4 linked regions of the Elephas maximus indicus genome follow. The protein of the gene in region 2 interacts with the protein of the main gene of each other region in a pairwise test. Links are inferred from orthologs where the notes say so. Each region holds a gene or a part of one and is shown on either strand. Other genes may lie near its edges. The genes, in order: CCDC42, MID2, LENG1 and PPP1R18.

Region 1 (8,238 bases), on a different chromosome or scaffold from region 2:
AGAGATGATTTAAAGTATATGGGAGGATGTGGGTAGGTTATGTGCAAATACTCTGCCATTTTATATAAAGGACTTGAGCGTCCCCAGATTTTGGTATCCACAGCGGGTATGGGGGGAGAGTTCTGGAATCAGTTCCCTGCAGACACAGAGGGACAACTGTGTGAAGAAAACTGAAGGATAAAAAAGAAGAGTTGAGCAAATGAAAAAGTACCTTTTTTTTGTAGGTAGGTTTGACATCACAAAGATGTCAATTGTCTCTATACATTTAGTGCAATCTCAGTAAGTATACTAACTGGGTTTTATTGTTTAGTTAGTTGTGTTCTTTGGAACTAGAAAATCCGATCCTAAAGTTGATCTGAGAAAATAAACTAGAATAGCCAAGAAGCTTCTGGAAAAGAAGCACACTGAGAGAGGACTATCCCTGAAACATATAAAAACACACGTAAAGCCTCAGTAGTAAAGGTGTGTGGACAGACAGGTCAACTGAACAGAGAGTGTCCATGGGGAAAAGCAGCACTAGTCCATAAATGGCTTAGGGACAGCTAGGCAGTCATCAGAAGGGAGGGAAAAAAAAAGTTTGATCCATACTATGGTAAACACCATACAGCTCAAAAATAAAAATGTAAAACACGAAACCCTAAAGGGATTTGAAAAAAACATGGGAAGACTCCTTAATAATGTTGTGATATGGAAACCTTCTCTAACTATGACTCAAAATCCAGATGCTATAAAAGAAAAGATTAAGGCATCTGACTACATAAAAATTAAAAAATTCTACAAGAAAAAAAAAAAAAAAACGCCTTAAGTCAAAAGACCAATAAAATAACTGGGAAAAGTATTTGCAACTCCTTTCTAATAAATAATGAACTCTTATAAATCTATAAGAAAACAGCCAACCAACCTAGTAGATTGGTGGACAAAGGAAGTTAGAGAGACAATTCATAGAAAAAGAAATACAAATGGATTGATCCAGAAATCCCACTTCTTGGAATTTATCCTGCCCATATGTGAAATGATATGTGAAATGATATGTATACAAGGTTATATACTGCAAAAAATTGGAAATAACCGAAATATCCATCAATAAGAGACCAATTAATTAAATTACAGAATATCCACATAATGGAACATAATGCAATTAAAAGAATGAGGAGACTTTTAATATATTGATATGGCAAGATCTCTAATATATATTATTAAGTTAAAAAAATAAGGAGCAAAACATTGTTTGTATGCTCTTTTGTGTAGAAAGAGTAAAAAATAAGAACATATTCCTATCTGCCTGCATTTGCATAAAGAAACTCCAGAAAATGCATAAAAACAGTTATTCGTGGGAAAGGTGTGAGAACTGGGTGGTTGAAAGAAGGGATAGTGATGAGGCTTTTCACTGTACACACTTTCTTTGAATTTTTGAACCACGAGGATAGATTATCTGTTTAAAACACCATATTTAAAATACTTTTCTATTTATCTCTGATATTCTTAAATTTCACTGTATATATTTAGATGTGTTTTTTGTTTGTCTCCTTAGATATAAGAATTTCAATCTCAAGTCTCCTCTTTCATACCCTCCATTTGTTTTTCCTTATGAAATTCCTATTATTATTTAGATTTGACATTTTTATTTCAATCCTCTGGACCTTAGCTTTTATTCTTTATCTCCTCCTGAAGCCTTCTGGAAGAGTTCTTAAAGATGGTCTTCTATTCATTAATTGTTCTTTAATTGTATCCATCCTGCCATTTAAAGCATCCATTGAGTTCTGTCGTCCACTCAGCTTTCCATTCAATTCGTTCTTCTCCATTCACGCTTGCTTCTCTTCATGTTCCCAACATCCTCCCTCATCTCTTTGAGGATATTTGTTATGTTTATTTTAAATTCTTATTCTATTGATCTGTTGGTTCTGTTTCCTTTGGACAGGTTGTTCAGTCTGTTATCTTTTATAAAGGTTGCCCCCCTCAGACATCTCATTGTTTTTCCTCATGAGCTCATGTGTGCTTGAGACTACGTTCTACCAACTACCTTGAACTGTCCCTGGAATGTTAAATGGCCTCCCTGCCCTGTTCTGCATATGTATGTATTCAGACAGCCTCTGGTGTTGCAGTCCAAGATCACCCACTCCTGTTTTGCCTCCCTTGACCAGGCAATACTGTTCCTCTGTAAACCTTCCAGAACCTTCCCCCCAGACATGGTTCTTTTCTAGGGGCTGCCTCCCTCTGTTGCAACTGCCTGCCCATGAAAGAGGGACCACTCAGGATTATCCAGCCTGAGTGCATTTGTGTCTGCTCCAGTGCTGCCCCCTCCTCACCCCACCACTCTGGGCTGACACTAAGTTGTCACTGGGATGATGCTGCAAGCTGTACAGTGAGCTTCCCAGGGCAATGTGCAGAAGAGAAAATGCCATGAGCTATCCACCATCCCTGGTACTTAGCCCTCTTCTGTTCTGGACTGCCATTTCTCACACACACACACACACACACACACAACCACATCCCACCACTTTCTGCCTCCCTAGGGTTTCCTCACAGTTTTTGTGTTCCGTTTGGTTAGCCATCCACCTCTCTCAGTTCTACAGAATCTCCAGGGACAGAAGCCCTGATCTGCAATCTTGTGGGAAACCTGAAGTTCACCTCATTTTTAATTGTGGCTTTTCTTAGTCTGCAGATGAAGCATAATCTTCAAGCCTCCATTTTTTTTTCTTCTATAAAGGAGACATTTGAAATAAACGATCTCAAGTTGTTCTAACTTTAAAATTCTGTGGTTCTGTGTGGCAAATGAAGTGACATAAAATATACCGAGATATTTTAAGACTACAGAGTTACCAAGGAAATAAAGAGGCACATGAGGGAATACCCACCAAGAGACAGTTATTAGCAAGAATGGATGTCAGGTTGAGAAAGTGGAGTGTCAATCAAGTTTCAGGGAACTAGGAGAAGGGGAGGATGTTGAGGGAGATACACAAGAGAAAGAGAAAGACACTGGTTAAAACAAGGTTTGGAGGAGAATCAGCAAATCTTGAGTATGACAAAAATAACTAACTACCATGGGGGCAGATGCAAAGATTTTTTTTTAATTTATTATGAGATATTTGAGACATAGGGAAAGGTGTAAAGAATAATGTAATGAACACTTGTGTTCCCAGTGCCCAAAATCTAACATATTACACATCACCAACAGCTTGCCCTTGGTTGACACCCTGGGTGCCTTCACCCAGCAACATGCCTTCTGAGCGGGATGACAGTGGGCAAGGTACTTAACCTCTCTGAGCATCCATCTTCTCATCCATAAATGGAGATGAAGATAATAACAGTACCTACCTTGAGGAGGTTGTTTTAAGAATTAAGTCAATTAGTGGGGTTAGTACTGTTAGTTCTGTTACTATCATTTATTCAGATGTTAAGTGCGCACCTTCATGGGTCAGAATTGTGCCAGGCTCTGGGGACAAACGATCAGAGAAACGTACTCTTCAAAGAGTTTACGGTTCTTATTGCCGTCGTTGCTCTTACCCTACTGGTTCTGACTCTCTAGGGCGCCCCGGGTGGAGAAGCCATCTCTGGTTTAGGGGTTTGTGGGGGGTGGGTGTTCTGGGTGGGAGGGGGGCTGTCCTGCTGTCTCTCCTGAGCCCGCCAGGCTGACTGAAAGCGACCGGGCTTGTGCTTCTGGCCTCAGAAATCCCCACTAAGCGGTCTATTCTGGGGAGGAGGTTGAGGGGAGGATGGAAAGGAGGAGGGTGGGGGGTGGGCAGCGCCCCTCCAGCACGTCTTTTCCTCCCCACGGGCGGGTGGCCAGCAGGGGGCGCCAGAGGACCAGCAATGCCGCTGAGAGGGCGGTTGCTGAGCTCCCTTCACGACGGGTTCGAGACCCCCACCCCACATGGGCTTCCCTTCCAGACAGAGAGCAGAGCCAGGACGCGTGGCCCGCGTGGGGCAGAGGAAGCCGCGCGAGAGCATCGAGGGAGCTTGGGAGCCTGTCCGCGGGCAGGAGCCAGCGGAGGGCCGGCCTGAACCTCCCAGCCGGGGTCTGCCACGGAGACCCAGGGCGCCTGCCCCACACGCCGGGTCTCAAATCTAGACGCTGAGCCTCACGGCCATATGAGTGCATGCATTTACCCTGACAGGGTCGAGGAAGGCAGCCATCACAAAGAAAACATTTGATGTGTGAAATATTCATAACCCTGCTTCGACATGTCTCCAAAATTTAATAATCTAAGAACTTCAAAATGAGGCACTGGTCCCGAATCTCTTGCCCCCTCCTCCACACCCTTGTTGGCCATATCTCTTCAGTCCCAGGCTTCTTGCATAGCCTCACACATCTAGACCGCACACACATCCTTCACCCACTAGCTAGTTGTCAACCTCAGGCCTCCTCCCACCTTCAGGAATCTCCAGCCCCTCTCCTGCACATCCCCAAAGGCCCATGTTTCTCTGTCCACCCTCACCCCTACCTCAGCTAAGCACCTCTTCTTCTTTCCTTTCTTATTTGCTATCTGTCAAAGGCTCACCTGAACCTGGGCGGGAGGCCTAGGAGCAGGGGTCCCTCAAAAGGACAATCCCATTTCTCAGCCAGGACACCCCGGCCCTGCCTCCCAGGCCTGGGCACCACGGCAGTACCTACTGAGGCCTAACTTCCTCCCAGAGTTCCCGAGGGGTAAGGGCAGGAGTAAGGAGCAGGACCCCAGCAAACATGAGGCCAGGAGGCAGAGGGCTAAGCACGAGTTCTGCGTGTAGTCCACAGAACCAAGCAGCCTGTTGCTAGGTAACCAGAACCTCACATCACCCCCCACAACACATCATCTGAGCCAGGGATTCTGTCTCCAGCTATCTTGGGCAGAGTCTCTCAAATACCTACCGCCCCTGTGGGACTCTGAAAGCAGGAGAAGAGAAGAAACCAGAGCCCAGCCACCACCCCTTGGGATCCGCCACCCACTATTTCACTGTGAGGACCCAGCTGACTGGGCCGTGAGGGCACCGCAGCCATGAGCCTGGGAATCATGGAAGAGGAAGATCTGGCCGAGTACTTCCGGCTGCAGTATGGGGAGCGGCTGCTGCAACTGCTGCAGTGAGTGTCTGAGAGCCCGCCCCATCTCTCTGTGCCTTAGACCACCGACCTATGCCTCACCTTCCTGCTCCCAGCCTGTCCCCGCCTCCTCCTATAACCCAGGGCTCCAGATCACCCTGACACCAATCCCCCCATCACCCTGCCTCAGCTCACTCTCCAAATGAGCACGCCTCTCTCTTCTCCACACCCCAGACCTTTCACTCAGGTAGGGGAGACACCCCCTTCCCTCCCCATGGGTATCTCTCTCCACTGGTTACTGCCCAGCCCCAACCTGCCTCAGGCACCCAGAGCCCACAGGCCCCTCTTGCCGGTGTCTTGGGCAGGAAGTTCCCCTCCACTGAGGAGCAGTCGGAGTCCCCATCCATCCGGCTGCTGGAGAAGAAAAAGGAGGCCAAGATCATGCACCATGCTATGGAGCAGAAGAAGGAGGTGGGCCAAGGGGACAGGGTGCTGGGGTGCATGTCTCTTCCCTCTGGGGAGAAGAAAAATGATCCGAGTCTCTGGTGCTATTGTTGTCCTGGGGTGCTCTGCTCCAAGCCAGCCATGGGACAGAGAGGGAGAGGTCTCCTATGAACCCTTCCGGGCATGGGAATAGCAGTTCTGGGCAGGGGATGCTGGGACCTTCCTCAGTACACATGTCTGAGGCCCTCTTGACCACTCTCCTTTCCCCACCCGCAGACATTTAAACGCAGGATGGAGGCCTTGAACCTGCGCTGGGAGGAGCTGGGCATCAAGGAGGCCCAGCTGACGGCCCACATCCAGAAGTTTGAGCAATTCATCCAGGTAGGTAGCGGTGTGACCTACTGTGGCAGCCAGTGGGACTCACACTCTGCTGTCCAGCAAACTGCCTTCCCTCCCTCCTCATCCCCCTAGCTTTTGCTGACCTTCTCTCCCTGGGTTCAATGGCTGGCTGTACTCCAGCAATCCTGATGCTTTCCCCCTTCCAATCCCTCATTTACAGCTCTGTTTGGAATTTCCTGTTTACCTGCCCCTTCTAGATTGCTGTTTCCTGTTTCCTTGCCAGTACCTAGTGAATGAACAAATGAATGAATATATCAGAATCAGGGCTGGGCCCTTGGGAATACAAAGATGAATAAGACAGGACCCATCCTTGCACTGAAGGTCCAGACAGGAAATGGTCAGAGGAGCAGGCACCAGAGTTCACTCCCAGACAACCCCTCTCAATGGGTCCTTAGAGGAGGGATTTAGTCATCTTAAAGTCCAGCCAGCACTTATCAAACCCTTAAGGGCCTGGCCCAGCTCCAGGGGCTCGTTGCTGCCCTTGGCCATAGAGGAGCCTACTCTTAAGCATCTTCCACCATGCTTGTGCCTAAACCAGACAGGAAAAGAAGCTGGCTGACTGGGGGCCAGTCCTTTTACTGACCAGAAAAAAGCTCATGGAGTGGTTGGAGCAGCAGGAGATTTGGGGGTGAGGGGTCCTCCAGATGGCTACTAGAGGACCAGCAGCACTGAGGTCCCTGAGAGTTTGTTACAGACGCCTGGACTCTCTTCTCTCCTTGCTTTCAGCAGGCGTGAGGTCAGTCCCAGGCATCTGTATTTTTACCAAGCTCTCCAGGGGTTACAGATGTACAGTCGGATTTGAAAACCATTGGCTTAGGGCCCTTGTCCTCTCCTGGGCTTAGGGAGCAGAGAACAAACCCCTGAGCACCTTCCTTCATGCCATCCAAATGCTGGGACCACACATGCCACCCATGGGGAATCAACAGGGCCCCAGGGAGGAAAGGGCCACACAAGTGCTGGGAGAGGGGTGGGTTTGCCTCCTACATCTTGGAGGGAGGGTTTGGCCGTAGGAAGGAGAAGGCAGGACTGGACACATTGCAGTAGCTGAGCCTCATGTCATTTTGGGTGTCAAATTGCCTATGCCATCTTCTCCAGCCCTGGCCTGGTGCCAGTCTGAGCCCCTAGGAACATGCTCCCTGGAATGCCTTATCCCCTCCGGTCCCCTGGACCAGGCCCATTGTCTGCCTCATCTCCCTGTAGTTCAAGGGCTGCTACCTCAGCTTTTGGAAGAAAAAGAAGGGCCACTGCCTTTCATTTATATAGTTGGAAAAACTGAGGCACCAAAGTTGGGAGAACATTCGGGCCTCCCAGCTATGGGCCCAGGAATTTACCCCATGACAAACGTCCACCACTAAGAACAGAAACAGGGGAAGCTTTGTCAGAAGGTTTGCTTCTGGAAAGTCCACTTCCGGGCCGTCTCACCCTTCCCCAGGGTTGAGCTGTCTCCAGAGACTGAGACGTGGGCCTCCGCATTTGGCCCCCTGAAGTCTGGAACTCCTCCCACAGAATCAGAATCATTTCCCAAGGCCACCTCTTAACTTGGGTCTAAACCTCCCCCCTCACAGCCTTCTGAACCCCAACTCACTCCACAGAAACCCCGTCAACTAGCTGCAGATAAGTTTGTAGACCCTTTTCCTGTGTGCCTCCTCTCCCAGTGGGCGGCCCAGCCTTCCCTGCCCATCCTCAGAGTGTCCAGAACTCAGCCAACCGGCCTTGCGAGGGCACCAGGGGGCTGAGGGCCCCTCCAGCCACTGGCAGTTCTGACTGGTGCCCCTGCTCCGGCCCCAGGAGAATGACCAGAAGCGGATCCGCGCCCTGAAGAAAGCCAACAAGGAGCGAGAACTCAAGAGGCAGCGCATGCGGGAGTTGGCCAAGGCCAAGCAGGAGATGGCAGCTCTGCGGCTGGAGCACCAGCGGCTGAGCTGCAAGCTGCAGGACTACTCCATCTTCAACAAGTACCTGGAGAGGGTGGTAGAGAACTCTGAGGTGAGTCCTGGGGTCGAGTGGGGAAGAGCCTTGGTGCCCACCTCAGCCGCACCTCCCCTTCCCCAGAGTGTGGGGCTATGGGTGGCATTTCAGCCTGAGCTAGCTGGGATTTAGGAGCTCCTGGGGGCTCTGTGGGAAACCCTGGTGATGTAGTGGTTAAGTGCTACAGCTGACAACCAAAAGGTCAGCAGTTCAAATGCACTAGGTGCTCCTTGCAAACTCTATGGGGCAGTTCTACTCTGTTCTTTAGGGTCACTATGAGTTGGAATCGACGTGACAACAATGGTTTTGGGGGCTCTGCAGTGATGATCACCCTGGAGGGGTGCTGGAAAGAGGCCTTAGATTCTAGTGCCTGGTGCCCTCAGAATGTTGGGGTTTGTGCCCATGGGGCCCAA
Region 2 (7,490 bases):
AAAAGTGTTAACCTGACTGTCCCAAAAAATCCTTTGCCTTCGAGCTGATTCTGACTCATAGCTACCCTACAAGACAGAGTAGAACTGCCTCATAGGGTTTTCAAGGCTCTAATCTTTATGGAAGTAGACCACCACATCTTTCTCCCAGTGTAGTTGGTGGGTTCCGACCACCCACATTTTGGTTAGCAGCTGAGCTTTTAACCGTGGAGCCACCAGGCCGGTGACACAGAAGGAAAACATGGAGGATGTGGTGCCATGGAAACCAGACTCCAGGTGACCTGGTGCTGCTGGTTAGGAATGTATGGTCCACGGTAAGGTTTAGGGTTGGGCCTAAATACTAATTAAAGCTGCAGGAAAATATTTTACCAATGTAATACAGATAGCAAACGTACATTTTTATTGTAACAGACACAACAATTCAGACAAATTACAAAGTCGATAAAAGCATTACTAAATTGAGACTGTGTTGGCATCTCCTGTCTGAAGGGGAGATGGGAGGGTAGAGAGGGTTAGAAACTGGCAAACCGGTCATGAAAGGAGAGGCTGGAAGGAGGGAGCGGGCTGACTCATTAGGGGGAGAGTAAATGGGAGTATGTCCTAAGGTGTATATAAGCTTATATGTGACAGACTGACTTGATTTGTAAACTTTCACTTAAAGCACAATAAAAATTATATTTAAAAAAATTAGTAAAATATAGGTCAAAGGAGAATAAGAAGTACCAGAAGCTTGCTACCTCTCCATTCTGGGAACATATTTATTTTGAATCACTCTCTTAGGCAGCCTACATGGCCCATTCACAACTAGTTTTAAAACAATGTGCTATTGATGACTCCATGCCAAAAATGCTTTTCTTCTCACCATCCTGTTAAGAGCTTCTCAGTTAGAAAAGCCCTTGGTCATCCTCTTTGGATTTCAGACAACTAGCTGCTTCTTTTGAGAGCCGTCTGAAGGTTCCCTTTTGCAGAAGCAAGGATTCTCTTGTGCAACAAAATCACCCTTCTGTGATTTTTTCCCTTCTGAAACAGACTGGTCTCTGTGCTTCTCTCTGTAGAAAGTATCTGGAGCCGTCCCCCCACCCCCGACATTCTTAGCTGGAAAAAGTAGCCCATGAGCTGTCCCTTTCATACTGTAGGCCTGTGGTGTGGCAAGTCGGCCTCAGATTAATTCAATTAAACACCTCAAGCCGAAACTGTCAAAAGTCTTTTTTTCATGGGCCAGGTTTGTTAATACGATTAACATGTTGTATACAAAGGTAACCATTAAATAATTATAAACAAATAATTTCATCACATAATCCCAGCCGATTTTACATTGCCTGCCAGATACAAAACATTTACTTTAATAAATTTAGTCGGTAATTTACATAAAACATCTGAAAGTGAGGATATTTTTCAAAGCAGCTGCTTATGTGATGTGACTAGTAAAATCTCCCTACTCTCCACCCCTACCCACACACACTATTAGTCATTCTTTTGACTTAATATATTGAAGGCCTCTGTTAAAATTAAAATACCATCTACTAAGGGGGAAACAATGCAGCTATTAAGGTGTTAGGTTGAATTAGTTGACTGAATTCCTTAATTATTTAGTAAGGTCCTGTGTGAAAGGGATACGGAAGCAGGTAAATTTAGGGGAGGGAAAGGAAAGTTTCAAAGAATGGATTGCTGCCTGGGGACGACAGGGCGGGTAAGGCATCCAGGATAGATCTGTGGAAAGCCAGGGGCTATCTTGAAAGCACTGGAAGCTCAGGTCGAGGCCAGACTGCTAACAAGTGAGGGATAGGATGCTTTCTAAAAGACGATAAAGATCATTAGAAGGGAATCTCTCTACTCCCAGTTCTAGCTTTGTTCATGGGTGTTCATGATGAAAGCAGTTACTTCTTCCCATTTTAGAAAATTCTCCAGCTTTCTGTGGGAATCATACCCAGTGAGCTTCAATAAGAATTCTCAGAATTCTGACTCAAGTTTGGGTTCAACTTCTGTCTTGGAGAAGTACCTTTTTCTGATTTTTAAAAAATTAAAAAGCAATGCATGAAGAAATTCTCATTATAGAATATTCAAATAATTACAAAATATATAGAATTAAAACCAAAAGTCCCCTTCCACACGCATTCCAATTCTAGGGTCGCACCATTTACAGTATGCTGCCAGGTTCTTTTCTTTTTTTAAATAATTTATTTTATTTTTGTAGTTGTCGTTGAAAATATACACAGCAAAACACAGACCAACTCAACAATCTCTCCATGTACAATTCAGGGGCACTTATTTTCTTCAGGTTGTGCAAAGATTCTTACCCTTCTTTTCCAAGTTATTCCTCCATCATTGACATAAACTCACTGTCCCCTAAGCTTCCTATCTACCGGGTTATTTTCTATGTATTTTCCTGCATATGTATACATATATATGTGTGTGTGTATATATATATATTTTTAACATGGAGTCCGTGAGTGGTTCAAAAGGTTAGGTGCCTGACTGATAACAGAAAGTTTGGTGGTTCAAACCCACTGAGAGGTACCTCAGAAGAAAGGCCTGATGACTTGCTTCCAAAAGGTCACAGCCTTGAAAACCCTACAGAGCACCAGTAAAACTGAGTACAGAGTAACACATGGGGACATTATGAGTCCAAATGGACTCGATGGCAACTGGTTTGGTTTTGACTTTCTTATTTTACATGAATAGAATAACCTGTATTTGTTGTTCTGTATACTTCATTGTTTTTTAAAAAAAATTTTGAAAAGATAATACATGCACATCATAAAAATTTCAAACAATATAAAAGAGCATATACAATGTGAAGTATGTCACCCTCCTGTGCTTAACCCCCAGGCAAGCAATATAATCCATTTCTTAGAGTCTGTGCATATACAAGCAGATAGGGACAGATCCTCCCCCCTTTTTCACACAAGTGGTAGCAAACCATACACAGCTTTGCACCTTGCTTTTTTTCATTTAACAATATTTCATACATATTATAAATATATGTGTATAAATATATGTGTATGGAGCCCTGGAGGCACAGTGGTCAAAAGATCAGCTGCTAATGAAAAAGGTCAGCAGTTCAAATCCACTAGCCATCCCTTGAAAACCCTCTGGGGCAGTTCTACTCTGTCCTATAGGGTCACTACGAGTAGGAATCAAGTCAAGGGCAACTGTTTTTCTTTTTTTTTAATAAATCAAAATCGGCTCTAGGACAATTTTTTTTCTTTTTTGAATCTTTATGAGCAATGATCACCAGTTCTTTTCTCCCGCGGACCGGCTGGGTGGGTTCGCACTGAAAACCTTTGGGTTAGCAGCATTGCGCCACCAGGGCTCCATATACGAGGAAAGAAAAAAAAAAGAATCTTCGTATTATAATATATATATTGTAATATATATGTAATTATAATATATATATTGTAATATATATGTAATAATATAAACATAACCTTCTTCAGAAACGACAATATTTATTTATCCATCCCCTGTTAGGCTGCATCAGCTGACTTCTGACTTACTAACTTTTACTTCTCTTAGGGCTGGACTTTCATCAGGAGGATAGCTGGCTGTGATTTTCCCCTTGGTTTCCACCTTAGTGTTCTCTAGAACATTGTTTAACAGAGGTATTGGCTGATTACTATTGGTCCCTGACGGGATACACCCAGAGCTACCTTAACTTCTCTGGACTTGTTCCCATCCATGTACAGTAGTGGGAGGTCTATGTGTGTGGGGGTTGTTTCCTTCCATTTTCTCTCCCCCCCTTCTCATTCTTTTGTTCCTTCTTTTTTTTTTCTTTGTCATGTTAAGAGTCTCCTCTTCCTTTCCTCTCCTATCCATCCGGTGAGTGGGGGCAGCATCACTGAACCAACGACAGGTCAGCGGAGACTCTGACTGCAGACCAATGGGGTACTCCCAGGTTCCAGATGGACCAATCAGCTTATTAGGGACATCAAATACCTAGATAGCTGGCATCTGCCCCATTGTCCTCTGAGTAACGACCCTCTTGTGTTGATGGTCAAAGATTTGAAGGTGCAAAAGAAACTTTTTTTTTTCTTTTTCCTTTGGTGGCTTTAATCCATCTCCACAACTTCTGCCCAAGGCCAATAAAACACAGCCATTCTCCCTTTGTAAAAAGAAAGAGGGGTTGGGTTTCCTTCAATTGTCTGCTCCTTTCTGTCTCCTCCACTATTTTTGTTTTATGTACTTTGTAGTTAACTTTACATAGAGCAGCTTCATCCGTGGACCTGTGCGGTGGACCCCATACACTTTCTTCTCATTGCCCATTGCAACAGCCTTTTTGTTCTAACCTGGGGGGTGCTTGTGGGGCAGGGCGGGGGAGAGGGGGGGTGGTGGCGGGTGGGAGAAGAGTTTGGCTGTTGACTTCCTTTGGCATTCCTCACACATTCTGCTCTCTCTCTGTCTCTCTCTCTCCCTCTCACACACAGACAGACAGACAGACAGACACACACCACACACCATACACACACACACACACGCCCGCCCGGGCCCCTCTCGGTGTGTCTTCCTTCAAGATGACAGGGCGCTGGAGAAAAGGCCGCTGGAATCAGCTGGTAGGTACAGTAGTAACCCGAACCCCACCTACCCGCCGCCTTTGCTCGCTCAGGTTTCACCGGTCACTCCTACCTGGGGAGAAAACATATAAATGTGCCTCCAGAGGAGGGGCTGGGGGAGAAGGGAGCGGCGAAGGCGGCGGAAGGTGAGCCTGGGAAGGTGGCCGGGGCCCTGCTTGGTCCTCCCTCGGGGCGTTAGCCCCAGCCCTGTTTGCCCCCACCCACTCCCCTTTTCGAAGGGATTGCCTTTCTCTCTCTCTCTCTGCGGCGGCGGAAATGACAGTGTGGTGCTGCCGTGGTGTCATGGTGCTGCTCCTGGACTGAGAAGCGAAAACTCTTTAAGTTTGGCTCGAGAGATTCAGCCAAGGCAGCGTTGCAGCCGCCGTGCTGTCCCCTGCCGGGCGCGCGGGCAGGCGGATCCCGGCTGCTGCGCGGCGGCGGCGGCCAAAGCGAAGGCGGTGAAGGCGGGCGGCGGCCTAGAGCAGCGGCGGCGGCGGCCCGGGAGCTAGCGCCGGAGCCCGAGCGAGCGCTGCCGAGAGAAGCGAGCGGCCGGCGCCCTCCGTCGCGCCGCCTAGGAGATGGCTGGCACCCGGGAACGCTCTGGGTAAAACGTGCCCCCTAGCCACCGTCCCTGGGGCTGAGCGCCGCCGCCGGCGCAGGGCTCGGCCCGGGCTCCGGCCGCCCCTCAGGTGCCGCCGTGGCCGGGTCGGGCCAAGGGCTCTGGGGCTCGGTGGGGCGGGCTGATCGGGCCGAGAGGCTCGAGGCGGCGGCGGCTCCGGCCCAGCCCTGCCTCCTGGTTGCGACACTGGGACCCGGGCTCCTGCCACTGCCCTCCTGGGACGGGAGTTTGCACTCGGGTGCGGGGCGGGGGCGGCCGAGGCCTCCCGCGCAGCCCGGCTGAGTCGGCTCGGACAGTGGAGCGGCTTCCCCGGCGCCCGGGCGGGAGTCTGGGAAAGGGCACCGCCGCCTTCCCACGCTCCCGCTGCCGGCAGCCTCCTCCGCTCGGGCGGCGCCCCTTGGACGGCTGGCTGCCTGGCGGTGGCTGCCGCAGCAGCCGGGGATGCTGCGGACACCCTGCCGGCGGGAAGGCCAGGCGAAACTTAATCCTTTTTCTGCCAGGGGAGCGAGCAAGCGTCTAGTCTCCGTATGGATGGTTCATTCTTTATGGCCTAGCTGTGAGACCAGGTCTTTAGGGGAGAAGGAAAACTTACATATGTCCACAGGACAGGCTGAGACTGAATTGGAGAGAGGTGGGGTTCTTCCATTCCTGTCTCGTAAGAACTAATAACAGCGGAGTAGATTTACAGAAACATTATTTGTGATGATAAGGTTTAGGCTACTTAGCTTAGCACTTCGTGAGCGGCACATTAGTTTTCGGAGGCATTTCTTCCCAGAGCAGGAAATTGGGATCCTGGGGTCGCTTGGTTCTTCATTTTCCCTCTTCTACACTCCCCTACCTTCCTTCGAGCTCAGTCAGTCACCTTCTTACGTTGTCACACACCAATTTGTCCACCCAAATCTCTCAAATCCAGCGCCCCCCACCCCAGCCTTTCCACATCACCCTGTGCACTCAAGTAACCTCCCAGCCGTGCAGCCTCTTGTTTCTCAACCACTTTGTCTTTTTAAGGATCTCTGACGTGAGGGGTGGATGGTAATAGTTGTGTGCCTCTGAGGTTAAAATAAGAGTTGTTGTTAGTAGTCACTTAGTAGGTTCCCACTCATGGTGACCCCATGCATGTTAGAGTAGAACTATGCTCCATAGAGTTATCAAGGCTGTGACCTTTTGGAAGCAGATGGGCAGGCCTGGAACAGTCAAGTTTCTAGCTACTAGTTGAGAGCTTAACCGTTTGCGCCACCCAGTTGTTGTGGTGGTGTGCTGGGTACTCGATTCCAACTCATAGCCACCCCATGTGACAGAGTAAAACTACCCCATAGGGTTTTTCTAGGCTGTAATCTTTATGGGAGCAGATCATCAGGTCGTTCTCCCTCAGAGCCGCTGGGTGGGTTCGAACCACTAACCTTTCAGCTAGTGGCCTAGGGCTTAATGGTTTCACTACCAGGACTCCCAGAGGGGCCCTTAAAAAGGAATATATTGAAACTGTACATAAACAAGTGCTGTGTGTGGGTTGATTCTTTGGGTTCTCAAATTGAGCCATAAGGGCTGCCTTTAACCCCATTCTGTTCCCTCCCAGAACTGTAGTCAGTTCTCTGGCAATGTTCCAATAATAGTAGGAAGAATGCTGAGTGGGGAGCCCCCCTCTCTTTTCTTCTGTTTCGGGAGCAGTGTTGGGCGGTCCCAGCTGGTTAGCCCCCCCATCCCCTTTACATCGCCTCTCCTTGCACCGAGGGGGAACAGTCTTTGCCATTTTTATATAGATTGCTACCCAATCAATTGACTTAATACAGATATATAAAGTAAATTAGATTTCTCCTGATTACTCCACACAATTTGATTTATGTAGTTGAAATACAGGTCTAGGAGCCAAGAAGATCAGAGAGTTCATCCCAAATCTGATGTTGCATTGGCTTTTATGGCATCCCTGTGACCTTTCTTTCATAGTTGGTGCACTTATGTAAAAGGCATAATATTGTGTACAGAGTATTGTGAGTCTTGGCTGGGTCTTTTGAAGATGAAAGGGTTCTATAAACACTCAGCATTGTACTTTTCGAAGAAAGTACTCCATTTACCTTTTATTGGGATAGTGGCTAGACTGGGTATAAGTAGGAACCCCAGTTTACTGGAAACCATACCTTGGCATTATTAACGCCCTCTGGGAGACACACCTACTGTACTTAGGTCTGAAGTCTTTTTTTTTCCCAATGAGCATACAACTGAATGGAAACATACCTAAAGCTAGACATACAGAGTAATGCAGATTATTTTAAGACGTGGTTTGAATCATTTCTAATGTACTCTGACCCGACAATCTGAGTCAGACTCAT
Region 3 (7,110 bases), on a different chromosome or scaffold from region 2:
GCCTGCGGGAATGGAGCCGAAGAGGAAGTCTCTTCTGGCCTCAGGTGGAGCTGGAGGAGGCAGTGGTGCGGCACCAGGCTGCAGCGCGGACCCTGGGTCAGCAAGCCAGGGTGTGGTTGGTGCGGGGGCTGCTCAACCTGCTGGTGATTGCGCTTCTGGGTGCAGCCCTCTATGGAATTTACTGGGCTACGGAGTACACCGTGGAGCTGCAGGTGCGAAAGGTCTTGGAGGTGAAGAGGTTGGAGGCCCTGGACCTGCCTGTCGAAGGGAGGAGGGGACTGAAGTCTAGGATTCCTGGAAACTTAGAAGAGGAGGGGTAGAGGGAGGGGGGAGGTTGGAACCAGATTTCGGGGGCCCGAATGAAGACGAAGCTGGAGGAGTATTTTAAGCATGGGTCTTATGGGCCACCCCCAGAAGCCCAGATAATCTTCCGTTGGTCCACCTTCTCTCCCAGGAGAATTCCTTTGTCCAGCAGACGCCACTACTAAAGCTGCTGGTGGATTACCTTCCACCCATCTTCATCTCCGTAGTCAACTTCGTGCTGCCACCTGTGTTCACGTTCATTGCCTCGCTGGAGGGCTACAGCCGAAGCCGCCAGATCATTTTTATCCTGCTCAGGTTCCAGCCTTCCAGGCTAGGGATTGGTGGTTGGGGAGCTGGCTGGAGGGATGTTGATTCTGAGAGACAAGACACAGAAATCCCGAAGACAGGGATCCAGGGAGATCTAGATTCATCCTGACTTTGTCACTGAGCCTCAATTTCTTCATCTCTGAAATGGGGAGAATCGTGAGCACGTTCCACGGAGGAGGATCTAGCAGGTGGTGAGTACTGGTCAATGCTAACTCCCTTCCTCCCTTCCCCTGCCAGGACTGTGATTCTCCGCCTTGTCTCTCTCCCGGTCCTGCTCATCTCTCTCTGGAATAAGATCACTTGCGGGGGCAATGCCGAGGCTGAGAATTGCAAAGCCTGTGGCTACAGTTACAAAGAACTTCCGGTAAGAAGGACAGGGAACCCAGACTCCTGGGTATGAGAGAGGAGGGGGCCCTGGACCTCCGGGTCTGAAGGAAGCGGGGCCTGGGGTCCCGGACTCTTAGGTCCTGAGGCAGAACGGGCCTGTGGCTGGAGATCCTAGGTCCCCGAAGGAAGAAGGAGCTGAGTGGGTCCAGAGAAGGGCTAGGGGGCTGGAACACCCCCCTGAGGACAGGGGTATGGATGTTTGAGAAAACTGGACGCCCACAGAGGAAATATTGATAGGATCTTATCGGCTTGCGATTTGGAAATCCGCATGCATGGGTCCTGAGGTCTTTCTAACCCGTTTTCTTCCTTCCTCAGTGCTGGGAGACCCGGCTGGGGCAGGAGATGTACAAACTCCTGCTTTTTGATCTGCTGACCGGCTTGGCAGTCACGCTACTCATCCAGTTTCCTCGAAAGTGAGAGCCTTTTCGCGGTGGCTCCGCCCCTAATAGAATAAGCCCCGCCCCACCATCTTTTTTCTATAGCTACGACCCTGACGGCTTGGTTTCCTGGGCCTGAGTCCTCAGGTCCCGCCCCCTCCAATTCCGCCCCTAAGGCCGTCTGGCGGGCGTTGTCCCCAGCCCCTGTCCTCTAAACACACCTCTTCGCTCCCTCCACGTGGGATATTGAAAGCTCCGCCCTCCCTTGGATATGCTCTCTTCCGATTGGTGGGCGGGACGGGTGAGGTGGAGAAACCCCGGGCCGACACGCCCCTGACTCGGCCCGGCCCCGCCTCTCAGGCTGCTCTGTGGCTTCTGTCCCGGGGCGCTGGGTCGTGTGGCCGGTACCCTGGAGTTCCAGGTGCCCGGCGAGGTGCTGGAGCTGATCTACGCGCAGACAGTGGTCTGGGTGGGGAGTTTTTTCTGCCCTTTACTGCCCCTGCTCAACACGGCCAAGTTCCTGCTACTTTTCTATCTGAAAAAGGTGCGGAGTGGGGAAGACGCGGGGTTCTGAGCGGAGAGGTATTGGGGACCTGGACTACTGGGGTCAGGGAGATGAAGGGACTGAGGGACATTGCTCCGAGGTTCTGGAGGACGAGGGGGCTGAGGACCCAGACTATCAGGTCTTGAGGAGGAGTTGGGGGCCTGGACTCCTGGGTCCGAGGGAGGAGGGGGCTTGGATCCCTGACTCCTGGGTCCAAGGGATGAGGGAACTGGGGGCCAGGACTTCAGGGTCTGAGGGAGGAGGCCATAGGGGCCCGGAGTCCTGGGTCTGAGGGATGAGGGGGGTGGGGGCCCAGAGTCTTGGATCTGAGGCAGGAGGGGCTTGGGGTCCGGAGTCCTGGGTCTGCGAAAGGAGGGGGCTGGGGACTGGACTCCTGGTTGTGATGGGGGTAGGGAGGTGGGGACCTGGATTCCTGGATGTGTTGGGGGAAAGGGGACTGGGGACTGGACTTCTGGGTCCTGAATGAAGAGGGGTCAGGACTCCTGGGTCTGAGGGAGGAGGGGCTGGGGCTCAGACTCAGTGTCACAAGTCTCCTCCTTCCCCGCCTTCCTTCATCAGTTCTACCTTTTCTCCACCTGCTCCCCGGCTTCCCGCACCTTCCGGGCCTCCGTGGCGAATTTTTTTTTCTCCCTGATCCTCCTCCTGGCTCTGGCCGTCTCCGCTGTTCCCGTGCTTTATAGCATCTTCCTGTAAGTGTGAGAGGAGTCCGCCTCTCGATCCCTCCCTCCACCCTCATCCAGGACTCTGACTCCTGGCCCTACTTAACTCTACCCATCTCTGACTTCAGGATCCCGCCCTCCAAGCTGTGTGGTCCATTCCAGGGACAGCCATCCATCTGGGCCCAGATCCCTGAGTCTATTTATGGCCTCCCTCGGGCCGCTCAGAACTTTCTCTTCTTCCTGGGGACCCAGGCCTTTGCTGTGCCCCTTCTGCTGTTCTCCAGGTGAGGGGGCCCGGATTCCTGGGTTGTAAGTTTGTGTGTGATTTGAGGGCCATGCCACCTGCATCCGAGGGAGGAGGAGACTCAAACTCCTGAGTCTGCTGGAGGAAGAAGCTGGGGGCCTAGACTCCCGGTCTGAGTGAGGAGAGGGCTGGGGGCCTGGACTACTGGGTCCAAGGGAAGAGGAGCTGAGGCCCTAGATCCCTGGTGTCTACGGAGCCAGACACTGAAGACATTCTAAGAGTGTTTTGGATGTGGCTTCTATTCCTTGTCTCCTGCAGCATCCTCATGGCATATACAGTGTCCGTGGCCAACTCATATGGGCGCCTCATCTCTGAGCTCAAGCGCCAGATAGAGACGGTGAGGCAGGCTGGGTACCTGGGAAAGCTCCTGGAGAATATGGAAAGGGACATGAGGGAGGGAAGATGTGTCTCACTTCCACCTGTTTTTACTCAAGGAGGCGCAGAATAAAGTCTTCCTGGCACAGCGCGTTGTGGCGCTGAGCTCGGCCAATGGGGCTCTGTGACTTGCGCAGCCTGGCTCAGAATGAAGTAACCACGTTCGGGTTCCAGATCTGCCCCCAGGCTTTGTGTCATACCCTTTGTAAGCCTCGACTATTCACATCTGTAAAATGGGAGTACTGGAGAAGACTGCACTCTTCCAGCCTAGGATTTGGAGAATTCTGGCCGTCAAGTCCCTGACTCTATTGAAATTTTTCTTTTATCAATAAATACAACTGGAAGCTGCTGGTGGTGCAATGGTTAAGTGCTTGCCTGCTAATGAAAGATCAGTGGTTCAAACTCATCAGCCACTCCTCTGGAGAAAAATGTGGCAGTCTGCTTCTGTAAAGATTAAAAAAAAAAATTAGAGCCTTGGAAACCTTATGGGGCAGTTCTACTCTGTCCTATAGGGTCACTATGAGTCAGAATCAACTTGACATTAACGGGTTTTGGTTTTTGGCTTGAAGGCTGCTGAGCGCTCTTTGAAACCTGTTTTCTCAAACCGGGCCAGGGCTTCATCCTAGGATGAGCCAATCAAATGTATTGGAATTTGTGATGGTGTTACACGCTTTTCCGCGAGACGACTTGACAGGCATGAGAGCCAATCGTCGGCGGCTTCTGCAGCGCCTGGGGCGGGGCCATCCATGATTGACTCAAAACCCTGATAAGAGGTAGTCACTAGGCGCTACCACGCGCGGATTCGAGGTGATGGGTGGTGGACGACTCAGCCAATCACCTCTCGCTACAGACCTACAGGGGGCGTGCTGATTAGCCCGAGACCAATCTGAGGCCGAGGTTGGGACAACCGGGGGAGCACAGCCTCGCCAATCGGAAGTGCCAGGAGGCGGGTCTGACAGTCCGAGGACGGTTACAGCGCCATGAATATCTTGCCCAAGAAGAGCTGGCATGTCAGAAACAAGGATAATGTGGCGCGCGTGCGGCGCGACGAGGCCCAGGCCCGGGAGGAGGAGAAGGAGCGGGAGCGGAGGGCGCTGCTCGCTCAGCAAGAGGTAAGCCTGAGTCTGAACGGGCGGGTTCCAGGGGCCGAGCCCGGAAGTGGAGTGGCGCGCAGTCGCAGTGCGCCCCTTGTGTAATCTGGGCTCAGGCTCTGGTCTTGCTCGTTGGGGACGTGTCTCTCGCAGAGCTGCTCAATTCTCCTGTGCCTACCTCCACGAAGCCTCCCCTGACCCCACCCTCGTCTCGGCTTCCTCCACGCTTGCGTTCCAAGTGTCCAGAGTAGTGCCTGGCACAGAGTAGATATGCGCTGAATGAATATAATGAGCCTTTGCGAGGTCGAAAGGAACTGTGATCGCTTTTAGTTTCCTGCACAACCTGTAGGGTCGCTATGAATCCGAATTGAGTGGACGGCAACGGGTTGGTTTTTTTGCACAACCTTCACATTTATTGGGCACCTGAAGTGCCCTTGTGGCTAACGGTTTAGTGATTGGCTGCTAACCGAAAAGCTTGCAGTTCGAGCCCACCAGCGGCTGCGTGGGAGAAAGACTTGGCGATCTGTTTTGGTAAAAATTCCAAAACCAAAAAACCCGTTGCCACTGAGTCGATTCCGACTGATAGCGACCCTATAGGACAGAGTAGAAACTGTCTTACAGAGTTTCTCAGGCTGTAATCTTTACAGGAGCAGACTGCCTATCTTTCCTGCAGAGTTATTGGTGGGTTCAAACTGCCCACCTTTTGGTTAGCAACTGAGTGCTTAACCACTGCACCACCAGGGCTCCTTTCTGTAAAGATCAAAGCCTATGGGGCAGTTCTACTCTGTCACATGGGTTCACCATGAGTCGGAATCGACTCAATGGCTACTGGACGCCAAGTAACAACGACCTCTGCTTGGTATATACCTGTGTCGCTTACCTGATCCTCAGCTAACAACGTTGGTATATACCTGTGTCGCTTACCTGATCCTCAGCACTGGCTGGAAGTGGTACCCTGGGCTCTTTCCTTATTCACATGTATCAGCAGAAGTTGTAAGTATGACTGGGGAAAGTGACTTGGGGCCATGCCTGAAATTCAGATCATCTGTTCTAATACATTTGCCCTCATGGGGCAGTGGATAAGAGCTCAGCTGCTAACCAAAAAGACAGCAGCTCAAATCCACCAGCTGCTCCTTGGAAACCCTATGGGGCAATTCTACTCTGTCCCATAGGATCACTCTGAGTCAGAATTGACTTGATGGCAGTGGGTTTCATTTGGTTTTGGTCCTAATACAAAGAAGCGCTCTTGGTGCAGTGGTTAAAGTGCTTGGCTGCTAACCAAAAGTTCAACAGTTTGAACCTGCCAGCCGCTCCTTGAGAGAAAGATGTGGTGGTTCTACTCTGTCCTATAAGGTCGCTGTGAGTCGGAATTGCCTTGAGGGCACTGGGTTTTGTTTAGTGTTTTTGACCCTAATACAGGGTTTGGCTGCCTCTGTAGCTGTTTTGTTTCACTTGACTGGGAACCCCTCTGGTTTAGGCCAGGGATCCTCTTTCCAGCCAACCTTGATGACCCACGGATTACTATTTGAAAGGCAGCTTTTAAAACTCAGGCATTGCCTCACCCCAGGATGGGACAGGGGCCTCTTTGGGCTCCCAGTACCCCAGGACCATGGACTGTGATGCTCTGTGGTCTGCACCAGACTCTCAGCCCCTTGAGTCACCTCTGGGTTCTGAATGCCTACAATGCCCCTTTCCCCCAGGCCCGCACAGAATTCCTACGCAAGAAGGCCAGGCGCCAGAACTTGCAACCTGAGCTTGAAGCAGTAGAGGTGGGAGCCCCAAGTCCTGGCCCTGTGGACCTGTTTCGAGAGCTGCTAGAAGAAGGGAAAGGGGTGACCAGAAGCAATAAAGAGTATGAGGAGGAAAAACGACAGGAGAAGGTAAGCTGGCCTTGCCGATGGGGCTTGGGGGGGGCACTTGGGTGTGACCAACAGGAGTGTGCAGATATGGTGGGAATTAAATGAGTGAACTACATAATTTAGAACAGTACCGGACCAGCACCCAAGAAGTGCTGGCTATCGCTATCCAGGCACCCACAGGATTTGGCTAGTCACCCCAGCTATGGAGTCTGTGGGTAGTGCAAATGCTCAACTACTAGCTGAAAGGTTGGTGGTTCAAACCCACCCAGAGGTGCTTCAGAAGACAGGCCTGGTGATCTGCTTTCAAAAGATCACAGCCTTGAAAACCCTATGAAGTAGCTCTACTCTGCACGCATGGGGTCACTGAGTTGGAACTGACTTGAAGGCAATTAACAACAGCCTGGCTGTGGGGTTGCTAGGTGCAAACCGCTCAGGTCTCCAGCCTGAGGTCAAGACCCTACAGGGGCAAGGGAGAATGAAGAAAACCAAAGACACAAGGGAAAGACTAGTCCAAAGGACTAATGGACCACAACTACCACAGCCTCCACCAGACTGAGTCCAGCACAACTAGATGGTGCCTGGCTACCACCACCGAGTGGTCTGACAGGGATCACAGTAGAGGGTCCCAGACAGAGCTAGAGAAAAAGGTAGAACAAAATTCAGACTCTCAAAAAAGGACCAGACTTACTAGTTTGACAAAAGACTGGAGAAACCCCGAAGAGTATAGCCCCCGACACCCTTTTAACTCAATACTGAAGTCACTCCTAAGGTTCACTCTTCAGCCAAAGATCGGACAGGCCCATAAAATAATACAGGTAGCTCAACCATGTATACGAGACTACATGGGCACACCAGGGGTTAAG
Region 4 (7,696 bases), on a different chromosome or scaffold from region 2:
AAGCAGTTTTCTACCCCACGTATTTTAACATATCCTCAACTTCACGTTTATAAGTCAACAGTTTTTGGATTTGGAACTACTAGAACAAAACTTTCAGTAATACAGAGAAATTCTCCCCTTCACAGTATGTGGAAAGGCAGTAAGTCAAGTTTATAATAATTTACAGAATAAACATTAATTTATTTTGTGGTAAAATGGTCACTAGCTTTTTCTCTTTTTTAGTCTAACAAGATGTAATATGTGATTCAGAGCTTTGGGTTCTCAGACAGTCTGCGTCAACAATCTTCCCGTTCTCTCACCGTTCACTATTAAACTGCTGAGGCTTGTTAGCTCTCATTCTGGTTATGTTTTTTAGTCAAGGCTAAATTAAAGAAAACGGGGTTTACAAGGTTCCATTTCCTTAAGAACCCTACAAGAGAGAAATTGTTAGCAAGAGCTGAGATTCAACCCACGACAGTGGCTGCCGAGCCGCTGCCCTTTAAACAGCTCACATGAAATTCTAACATTCCCTTCTGTGACGCCAAGATCGCAGGATCGAAAAAGGGACCCAAGCGCCGGCGCGGCCACCTGCTGGGCAAGCGCAGCCGGGCGGGCCGGAAGCCCGGGAGGCGGTGCGCGGGTGCCCCGCCCTCTGGGTGGGACCCCAGGCGGGGCCGGGGCGGGGCCAGCTGCCGCGGGAATCCCGGGGCCGCCCCCTTTCCTCGCCCCTCAGCTTCTCGCCATGGCCCCTGCGCTTCTCTTGGTTCCTGCTGCCCTCGCCTCTTTCATTCTAGCCTTTGGCACCGGAGTGGAATTCGTGCGCTTTACCTCCCTTCGGCCACTTCTTGGAGGGGTCTCGGAGGCTGGCCCCGGTGAGCGGGAGGGACCAGAGGATGACTCCGGGATAGGGGGGTGGAGCCGGAGAAGAGGGCGCGGGGGCGGGACTTGGAGACCAATGACAGATGGGAAGTCTTGGAGAGGGAACTCGAACCTTGGAAGCGCCGAATCGCGCCAGGGGAAGGGGACCTGCGGGCTAAATTAGGAACTCGGGGATAAGAGGTTTAGAATGGAGAGAGAGTGAGGACTGAGGGGGAGGGGAAGGGTGATAAGCAGAGTATTTTAAGGAAAGGGCTTTATGGGGAGGACTGTAGAGAAGAGTTTAAAAGAGGGACCATTTGGAGAACTGAAATGAAAGAGAGAATCCAAGGTGGCCTCTCCAGCCACGCCTTTTGTGACTGCCCAACGTTCTTTGTTCTGTGACTCCTCTTTCCCAGCTCTGGAGGATGCCTGGGGAAGAAGGAAGAAACGGGAAAGAAAAAGTGACATGGGCAAGCCTGGAGAGGAAGCATGAAGGCTCTTGGAGGCATTAAGGGACATGGCCTGGTGCTCTAAGAGCCTAGGATAAGGAGTGTTTCCTGCCATCTTCCTGATCTTTTCTCTGTTTCTCATCTCCCCCTAGATGTCCGGCAGGGATGGTTGGCTGCCCTGCAGGATCGCAGCATTCTTGTCTCCCTGGCATGGGATCTGGGGCTCCTGCTACTATTTGTGGGGCAGCACAGCCTCATGGCAACTGAGACAGTGAAGGCATGGTCGTCTCGGTACTTTGGGGTCCTGCAGCGGTCACTGTATGTGGCATGCACTGCCCTGGCCTTGCAGGTATGGGGGCCTGGCAGGCATATTCTCAAGGAGGACAGAATCTGTGGGAGGGACACCCTGGCGTGGAGGGGCATGGAGTTTAGGCTTCTGATAAAATTTGGATTTAGGAGGAGAGCTGAGGATGCTCAAGACTCTAATCTCAGCTTCTGTTCCTCCACAGCAAATATCTTACTCTTTATCAAGAAGGGTGTACTCATCACTGGCCAAGCACAGTATGTGCATTCTCACCTTTGCAACTTTGTTCATGTTTTCCCCCTGCCTGGGATCCCCTCCTTAACTCCACTCAGTCCTACCAGTTCTTCAAAACCCACACCCCTAAGCCTCAAGGGAAAGCTTCCCAGTGAGTGCTCCTTTGTCTTCTTATTGGGTGCTTGGTACTGGCTACTTCGTGTACCTGTCTGATCACCCTACCCATTCTGTAAGTCCTCAGGGTAGAGACAGGTCATCCTTATATTCTTGGAACCCCACCCAGCACGCTCCACGCGGTGGATGCTCATGATGGGGGTAGGGGAGAGCTGCAGATCAGCCTGGATGGGGCAGCCTCTGGGACTGGGTATCTCAGGGGTGGGCTGCGGGGATACTCAGCTCCTCATCCTTCCCCAGCTGGTGATGAGGTACTGGGAACCTGTACCCAGAGGTCCTGTGCTGTGGGAGGCTCGAGCTGAGCCATGGGCCACCTGGGTGCCCCTGCTCTGCTTTGTGCTCCACATCATTTCCTGGCTCCTTATCTTCAGCATCCTTCTCGTCTTTGACTACGCTGAGCTCATGGGCCTCAAACAGGTGAGGCTTCCAGATCCCTACCTGGGGCCTCCAGCCCTTTCTAGAACTCCTCTTCCCCTTCCAAGGATTTCAGTCCTCCCCCTCCAGTGCTCTACCACCTTCCCCTTGCTTGTGACTCCCTCACCTCCCTTTCCTGTCAGACAGTCTCCCCTCAGCCCTCCCTCAAAGCCTAGCAACCATGGGCCTCCTGGGCCTGGGGAAGATGCATGGACTAGATAGCCATGTCAGGAGCCCAGCTCTCTGAAGGGGAGTGCCTGGGCCTGAGTTCTAGGAGGAGGGTGCCTGGGAGAGAAAAGAGGAAGCCAAGTTATGAAAGGAAATCCTGGTGGCATAGTGGTTAAGTGCTAGTGCTGCTAACTAAAAGGTCGGCAGTTCGAATCTACCAGGTGCTCCTTGGAAACTCTATGGGGGCAGTTCTACTCTGTTCTATAGGGTCCCTATGAGTCGGAATCGACTCGATGGTAATTTTTTTTTTTTTTCGTTTTAAGTTGTCAAAAGGTCTTGGCTCTATTTCTACACTGTTCTCCCTGTCCTAGGTGTACTACCATGTTCTCGGGCTGGGGGAGCCACTGGCCCTGAAGTCCCCCCGGGCTCTGAGGCTCTTCTCCCATCTTCGCCACCCAGTGTGTGTGGAGCTGCTGACCATACTGTGGGTGGTGCCCACCCTGGGCACTGATCGCCTCCTCCTTGCTCTCCTCCTCACCCTCTACCTGGGCCTAGCTCATGGGCTGGACCAACATGACCTCCGCTACCTCCGGGCCCAGCTACAAAGAAAACTGCACCTGCTATCCCGTCCCCAGGATGGGGAGGCTGAATGAAGAGCTAACTTCTGGTTCCAAGCCCTGTACTTCCTCTTCCCCTCAAATTCTAAATCTGTCAACATCCAAGTGCTGGCTACTTCGGGCCAGAGGCCCCAAACTCTGAACTGCAGGGCCTGGTCCTTCCCCTACTTGAGACTCCATTTCCTGAGGTCAGCTCCATACCCTAAATTCAGAGTTTTAGTCATTGGACTCGAAGGTCCACTTCTCACCAGCTAGGGCCCTCTCCTCTCCCTAAAGAGGCTGGTGTGGAACTCATCTGTCCCCTCACCATTTGGGGATTGAGCTTGAGCGCCCCCTTCCAGCGCCTACACCACAAGGGAAAGGATCCGCCTTGACCACTCCCCTGGCACTGTTGCTCAGGGATCCCCCTTCTCCAAAGCTGGCTTCAGTCCCAAGGAACTGGATCAGAGTCTGCAAGTTTGACTGTACTGGGCGTCCCTCCAGGGCCCACGCCTCGAGGCTCCATCTCCAGCCCTTATTATCCTCTCCACCCGCCCTGTCTTTCCACCTTCCTAGGTCCCGCCACTGGTCACTTTCCCCTGGGCCTCGTTGAGGGGACTCTCCCGCTCTTGTTTTGGATAGCTTAGGGCTCCCTGCTTCCCCGAGGTACACGCGTTACAGGAAAATAAAATTTAGCCTGACTTTTCTACATCTGGCATGCAATCTTTAGTGTCTCTCAGGCTGCAGGAATGGGTTTGGGAAGGAAGGAGAGCGGGAAGCCGGCCGAGACAAACGCAGATCTGGGCGACCACTTCTCGCGGACCCGCCCCCACTTGCCCGGAGCTGCCGAGTTCCCCTTCCTTCACAACCCCAATTCTGTTGCAGACCAGGGGACTCATGGGAGAGGGGGCTGCTACTCTGGTTGGAGAGCGAGCTCCCAAAGCTGTTGGCCTGGTGCGCCTGTCCCGTCCTCCCCCCTCGCCCCGGGGCCCATTCGCATGGGCCCGGACAGCGGGGCAGCAGTAGCCCTCGACCCCTCAGTAACAAAGGCTGTCGGGGGAAGGCAAAGGCATGGGGAGGAGCGGCAGGAGATGGGAAGGGCGGGCCCGGCTCGAAGCAGCTGCAGCTTCCTCCTCAAGTCCCTCGAGGGGCCTGAGTCACTCACTAGCCGCCGCCGCCCTGGGTCGGAGAGCTAGGAGTGGGGGTCTGGTCACCTAGGCACTCAAGGGCCAGGGGGCGGAGGGATGAGGGCCTCTGGGGACAGGGCAGAGACTGTCGGGGGTTCTGACGCGAAGAAGGGAGTCCCGTAGCGGAACCCCAAGGCTGGGTCTAGGGTAGCGAGACTCCGCCCCCTCTTCAGGCTCCGCCCCTCGCCCCGGTCCCTCTCCCCATTGTCCTCAGACAAAGCGGTTGCCGCCCCCCGCCCGGCCCCCTGGTCCCTGTCTAGGTCCCTCCTTCTGGGCTCCCTTTTTCCCTCCTCCTATCCCTCCTTCTCCCCTCCCTCCCGTCTCCGGATCTCCCTCGCTCCCTCTCTCCTCCTCTTCCTCTCTCCGGACACCGGGCTCTCCTGCACCCCCTCCCCTGGGGCCCAGCGGCGCGTGAGTTGACCGAGGGGTTTCAGACTTGGGGAGGGATGTTCTCCTCGCTCTGGTCCCTGCTCCCTTCCCAGTGCCGGGCCTTGGGCTGTCTCTTCTTTGTGCCGAGATTGTGCAGTCAGAGCCGGGTAGGGGCGGCCGGCTAGGTGGGAGTTCCCTGAGAGCGGGGGACCGGGGCAGCGGACTCTCAGGCTCTGGGAAGAAGAGGCGTGGAGCCGATCCTCGGCAGGCCTGGGCCCCGGGGCGCAGCCAGTGGGGGAGGCAGGCGGTGGTGGCTGGACAGGGTGGGGGTGGATGCCTAGTTCTGGGAACATGCTGGCAGCCCAGACGCCCGGGTTCGGAGAGTCCCGGGGGAGGGTATTTCCCTTGACCCGCCTTGGGGGCGGAGTGCGGGGCAGGGAGGTGGGGGCTGGGGGACCGGAGGGGCGTGGCCGATTGACGCTGGAAGGGGAGCCAGGAGACTTAGGGCCGCGCTGAAGCGCGCCGGCCTCCTGCCGCGGCGCTCACTTTCCCCTCCACCCCTTCACTTCCCCTCTCCCCTAGACCCCTTCCCTCTCGGACCCCTCCTCACTTCCCCAAGACCCCCCCACCCCAGGTCCCTTCATCCTGTCCCCAGCGCTACTGTCTGACCTCCCTTCCCACTCTCAGCTCCCGTGGGGTAGCGGTGAGGCAGCCTCGCCTGAACCCGGCCCTCCCCTCCCCCCGCTTCGCTTTTCTCTCTTTCGCCCCCAGCTTCTCTTTTCTCCCTTCTCTCTCCCTGTCACATCCTTGGGACAGTAAGACTTCTTAACAATGTGGTGCCAAATCTGACTCCTCCCTCTTTGCCCTGAATCTGCACTCTTCCTTTTACCTCACTGCCCCCCCCCACCAACTTGGCTCTTATCTTTTCTCTTTATTTTCCCAGCTTTTCCCTTCCTCTGCCTCCTCTTCTCCCTCTTTTCCCCTGTCCTCACCTCAGCTCCTCTTCTCTGTCTCCCACCTCCTCCCTTCACTTCCTTTCCCCCCACACTCAGTCTCACCCCCTGAGCCTCTCTCACAAGCCTCTCCTTCCTGTCCTCTGCCCCCAGCACTCCACAGCCTCACCCCAAGGCGACTATGGCCACCATCCCAGACTGGAAGCTCCAGCTGCTAGCCCGGCGCCGGCAGGAGGAGGCAGCCATGCGTGGCCGGGAGAAGGCTGAGCAAGAGCGCCTATCCCAGATGCCAGCCTGGAAGCGGGGGCTCCTGGAGCGCCGCCGGGCCAAGCTTGGGCTGTCCCTTGGGGAGCCTAGCCCTGTGCCCTGGACTGCGGAGGCTGGACCTCCAGACGCAGACGAGTCTGCTGTCCTCCTGGAGGCCATCGGACCAGTGCACCAGAACCGATTCATCCGGCAGGAGCGACAGCAGCAGCAGCAGCAGCGGAGTGAAGAGCTGCTTGCTGAGAGAAGGCCCGGGCTGCTTGAGGCTCGGGAGCCAAGACCCAGCCCTGGGGAGACTCGGGATCAGAGCCCCAAGGGACGAGAGTCAAGAGAAGAGAGGCTCAGCCCTAGGGAGGCCAGAGAGAAGATGCTGGGGACACGGGGAGCCCGAGAGTCTAGCCCCAGACCTTTAGAGGCTCAGGACTGGAGGCCAAGTCCAAGAGAGATGGGAGATAGGAACTACCGACAGTCAGAGGCACGGAAATGGAGACTGAGCCCTGGAGAGACTCCAGAGAGGAGTCTAAGACTGGCAGAGCCTCAAGAACAAAGCCCCAGGAGGAAAGAGGTGGTGGAAAGTAGACTGAGCCCAGGGGAGTCTGGCAGCCAGCAGCTGGGCCTCACAGAGGCCCATAAATGGAGGCCTGACTGCGGAGAGTCTCAGGAACAGAGTTCGGCACAACTAGAGGCATCACAGTGGAGGCCGAGCTCAGGAGAGGAAAGCAAAGACTTCTCGGGAGAATGTGGGAAAAAAGAAGACAGGCCAATTCCAGGGATGGTCCCAGAAGAGATTACAGGGCTATCAGAGACCCTAACAAGGGAGGCTCGAGACAGCAGCCCCGGAGGAGTGGAGGCAGCAGAGCAGAGGCCTGGCCTAGTGGAGGACGGTGAGAGGGGCTTGAGGCTGACAGAAGGGTGGAAGTGGACCCTGAACTCCGGGAAGGTTCAAGAATGGACACCCAGAGACACAGAGACACAAACTCAGAAACCAGAACCTTCAGAGTCCGCTGAGAAGCGCCTGGGGCCTCCTGGGGTAGAGCCTGGAGAAGGGGAGGCTGAGGAGGAGGAGACAGGGGCTCAGGGCAGGCCTCTGAGCATCCTGCAGAACCGCTGCTCTGTGCCCTCCCCCCTCCCACCAGAGGACGCTGGGACTGGAGGCCCTCGACAGCAGGAAGAGGAAGCAGTAGAACTCCGGCCCCCGCCACCAGCCCCTCTGTCTCCCCCACCCCTAGCCCCACCTGTCCCCCAGCCCCCTGGGGATCCCCTCATGAGCCGTCTGTTCTATGGGGTAAAGGCAGGGCCAGGGGTGGGGGGCCCCCGCCGCAGTGGACACACCTTCACAGTCAACCCCCGGCGGTCTGTGCCCCCTGCAACCCCGGCCACTCCTGCAGCCCCTTCCACAGCTGATGCTGCAGTCCTTGGGACCGGGAAGAAGCGGTACCCGACTGCCGAGGAGATCTTGGTTCTAGGGGGCTACCTCCGCCTCAGCCGCAGCTGCCTTGTCAAGGGGTCCCCGGAAAGGCAACACAAACAGGTAGGGGAGCAGCCAAGCCAGACTTCTTAGGAGCCCACTCGCCAGTTCTCTCTGGGCACCGGTCTTTTGTTCATTTTTATACTCCTGTATTCTTGTCTCCCTCTATTCTTTTTTAATTCCTGCCACCACCCTTCCTCCCTCTGCACACACACCCTTTCTTCTTGCTGCCTTCCTGTTCCATTCATCTCAGAGCCTGCCCAGCAATCAAGCACTGTC

The links.
Region 1: the proteins of MID2 (region 2) and CCDC42 interact in binary tests that used the Homo sapiens proteins (3 or more experiments, as listed by UniProt). The two-hybrid records come from large-scale screens. The link is inferred for Elephas maximus indicus from reciprocal best matches to the Homo sapiens genes MID2 and CCDC42.
Region 3: the proteins of MID2 (region 2) and LENG1 interact in binary tests that used the Homo sapiens proteins (3 or more experiments, as listed by UniProt). The two-hybrid records come from large-scale screens. The link is inferred for Elephas maximus indicus from reciprocal best matches to the Homo sapiens genes MID2 and LENG1.
Region 4: the proteins of MID2 (region 2) and PPP1R18 interact in binary tests that used the Homo sapiens proteins (3 or more experiments, as listed by UniProt). The two-hybrid records come from large-scale screens. The link is inferred for Elephas maximus indicus from reciprocal best matches to the Homo sapiens genes MID2 and PPP1R18.

The regions. Positions count from the first base shown.
Region 1 is NC_064837.1:11,978,164-11,986,401, forward strand, and holds the start of CCDC42 (coiled-coil domain-containing protein 42), read left to right. Parts: upstream 1-4,973; coding exon 4,974-5,056; intron 5,057-5,379; coding exon 5,380-5,485; intron 5,486-5,734; coding exon 5,735-5,839; intron 5,840-7,645; coding exon 7,646-7,843; intron 7,844-8,238. UniProt on the Homo sapiens protein: Essential for male fertility. Required for sperm development.
Region 2 is NC_064846.1:50,053,714-50,061,203, reverse strand, and holds the start of MID2 (probable E3 ubiquitin-protein ligase MID2), read left to right. Parts: upstream 1-4,341; 5' UTR 4,342-4,547; intron 4,548-4,619; exon of another isoform or gene 4,620-4,693; intron 4,694-4,721; exon of another isoform or gene 4,722-5,151; intron 5,152-7,490. UniProt on the Homo sapiens protein: E3 ubiquitin ligase that plays a role in microtubule stabilization. Mediates the 'Lys-48'-linked polyubiquitination of LRRK2 to drive its localization to microtubules and its proteasomal degradation in neurons.
Region 3 is NC_064829.1:92,904,478-92,911,587, forward strand, and holds the start of LENG1 (leukocyte receptor cluster member 1), read left to right. Parts: upstream 1-3,941; 5' UTR 3,942-4,277; coding exon 4,278-4,409; intron 4,410-6,088; coding exon 6,089-6,268; intron 6,269-7,110. Other genes in the region: TMC4 (transmembrane channel-like protein 4), read left to right, coding at 45-212, 455-618, 868-994, 1,333-1,430, 1,755-1,938, 2,518-2,648, 2,747-2,902, 3,181-3,259 and 1 more.
Region 4 is NC_064819.1:91,004,598-91,012,293, reverse strand, and holds the start of PPP1R18 (phostensin), read left to right. Parts: upstream 1-4,690; 5' UTR 4,691-4,774; intron 4,775-5,838; 5' UTR 5,839-5,866; coding exon 5,867-7,480; intron 7,481-7,696. Other genes in the region: NRM (nurim), read left to right, coding at 722-851, 1,439-1,635, 2,239-2,415, 2,952-3,233.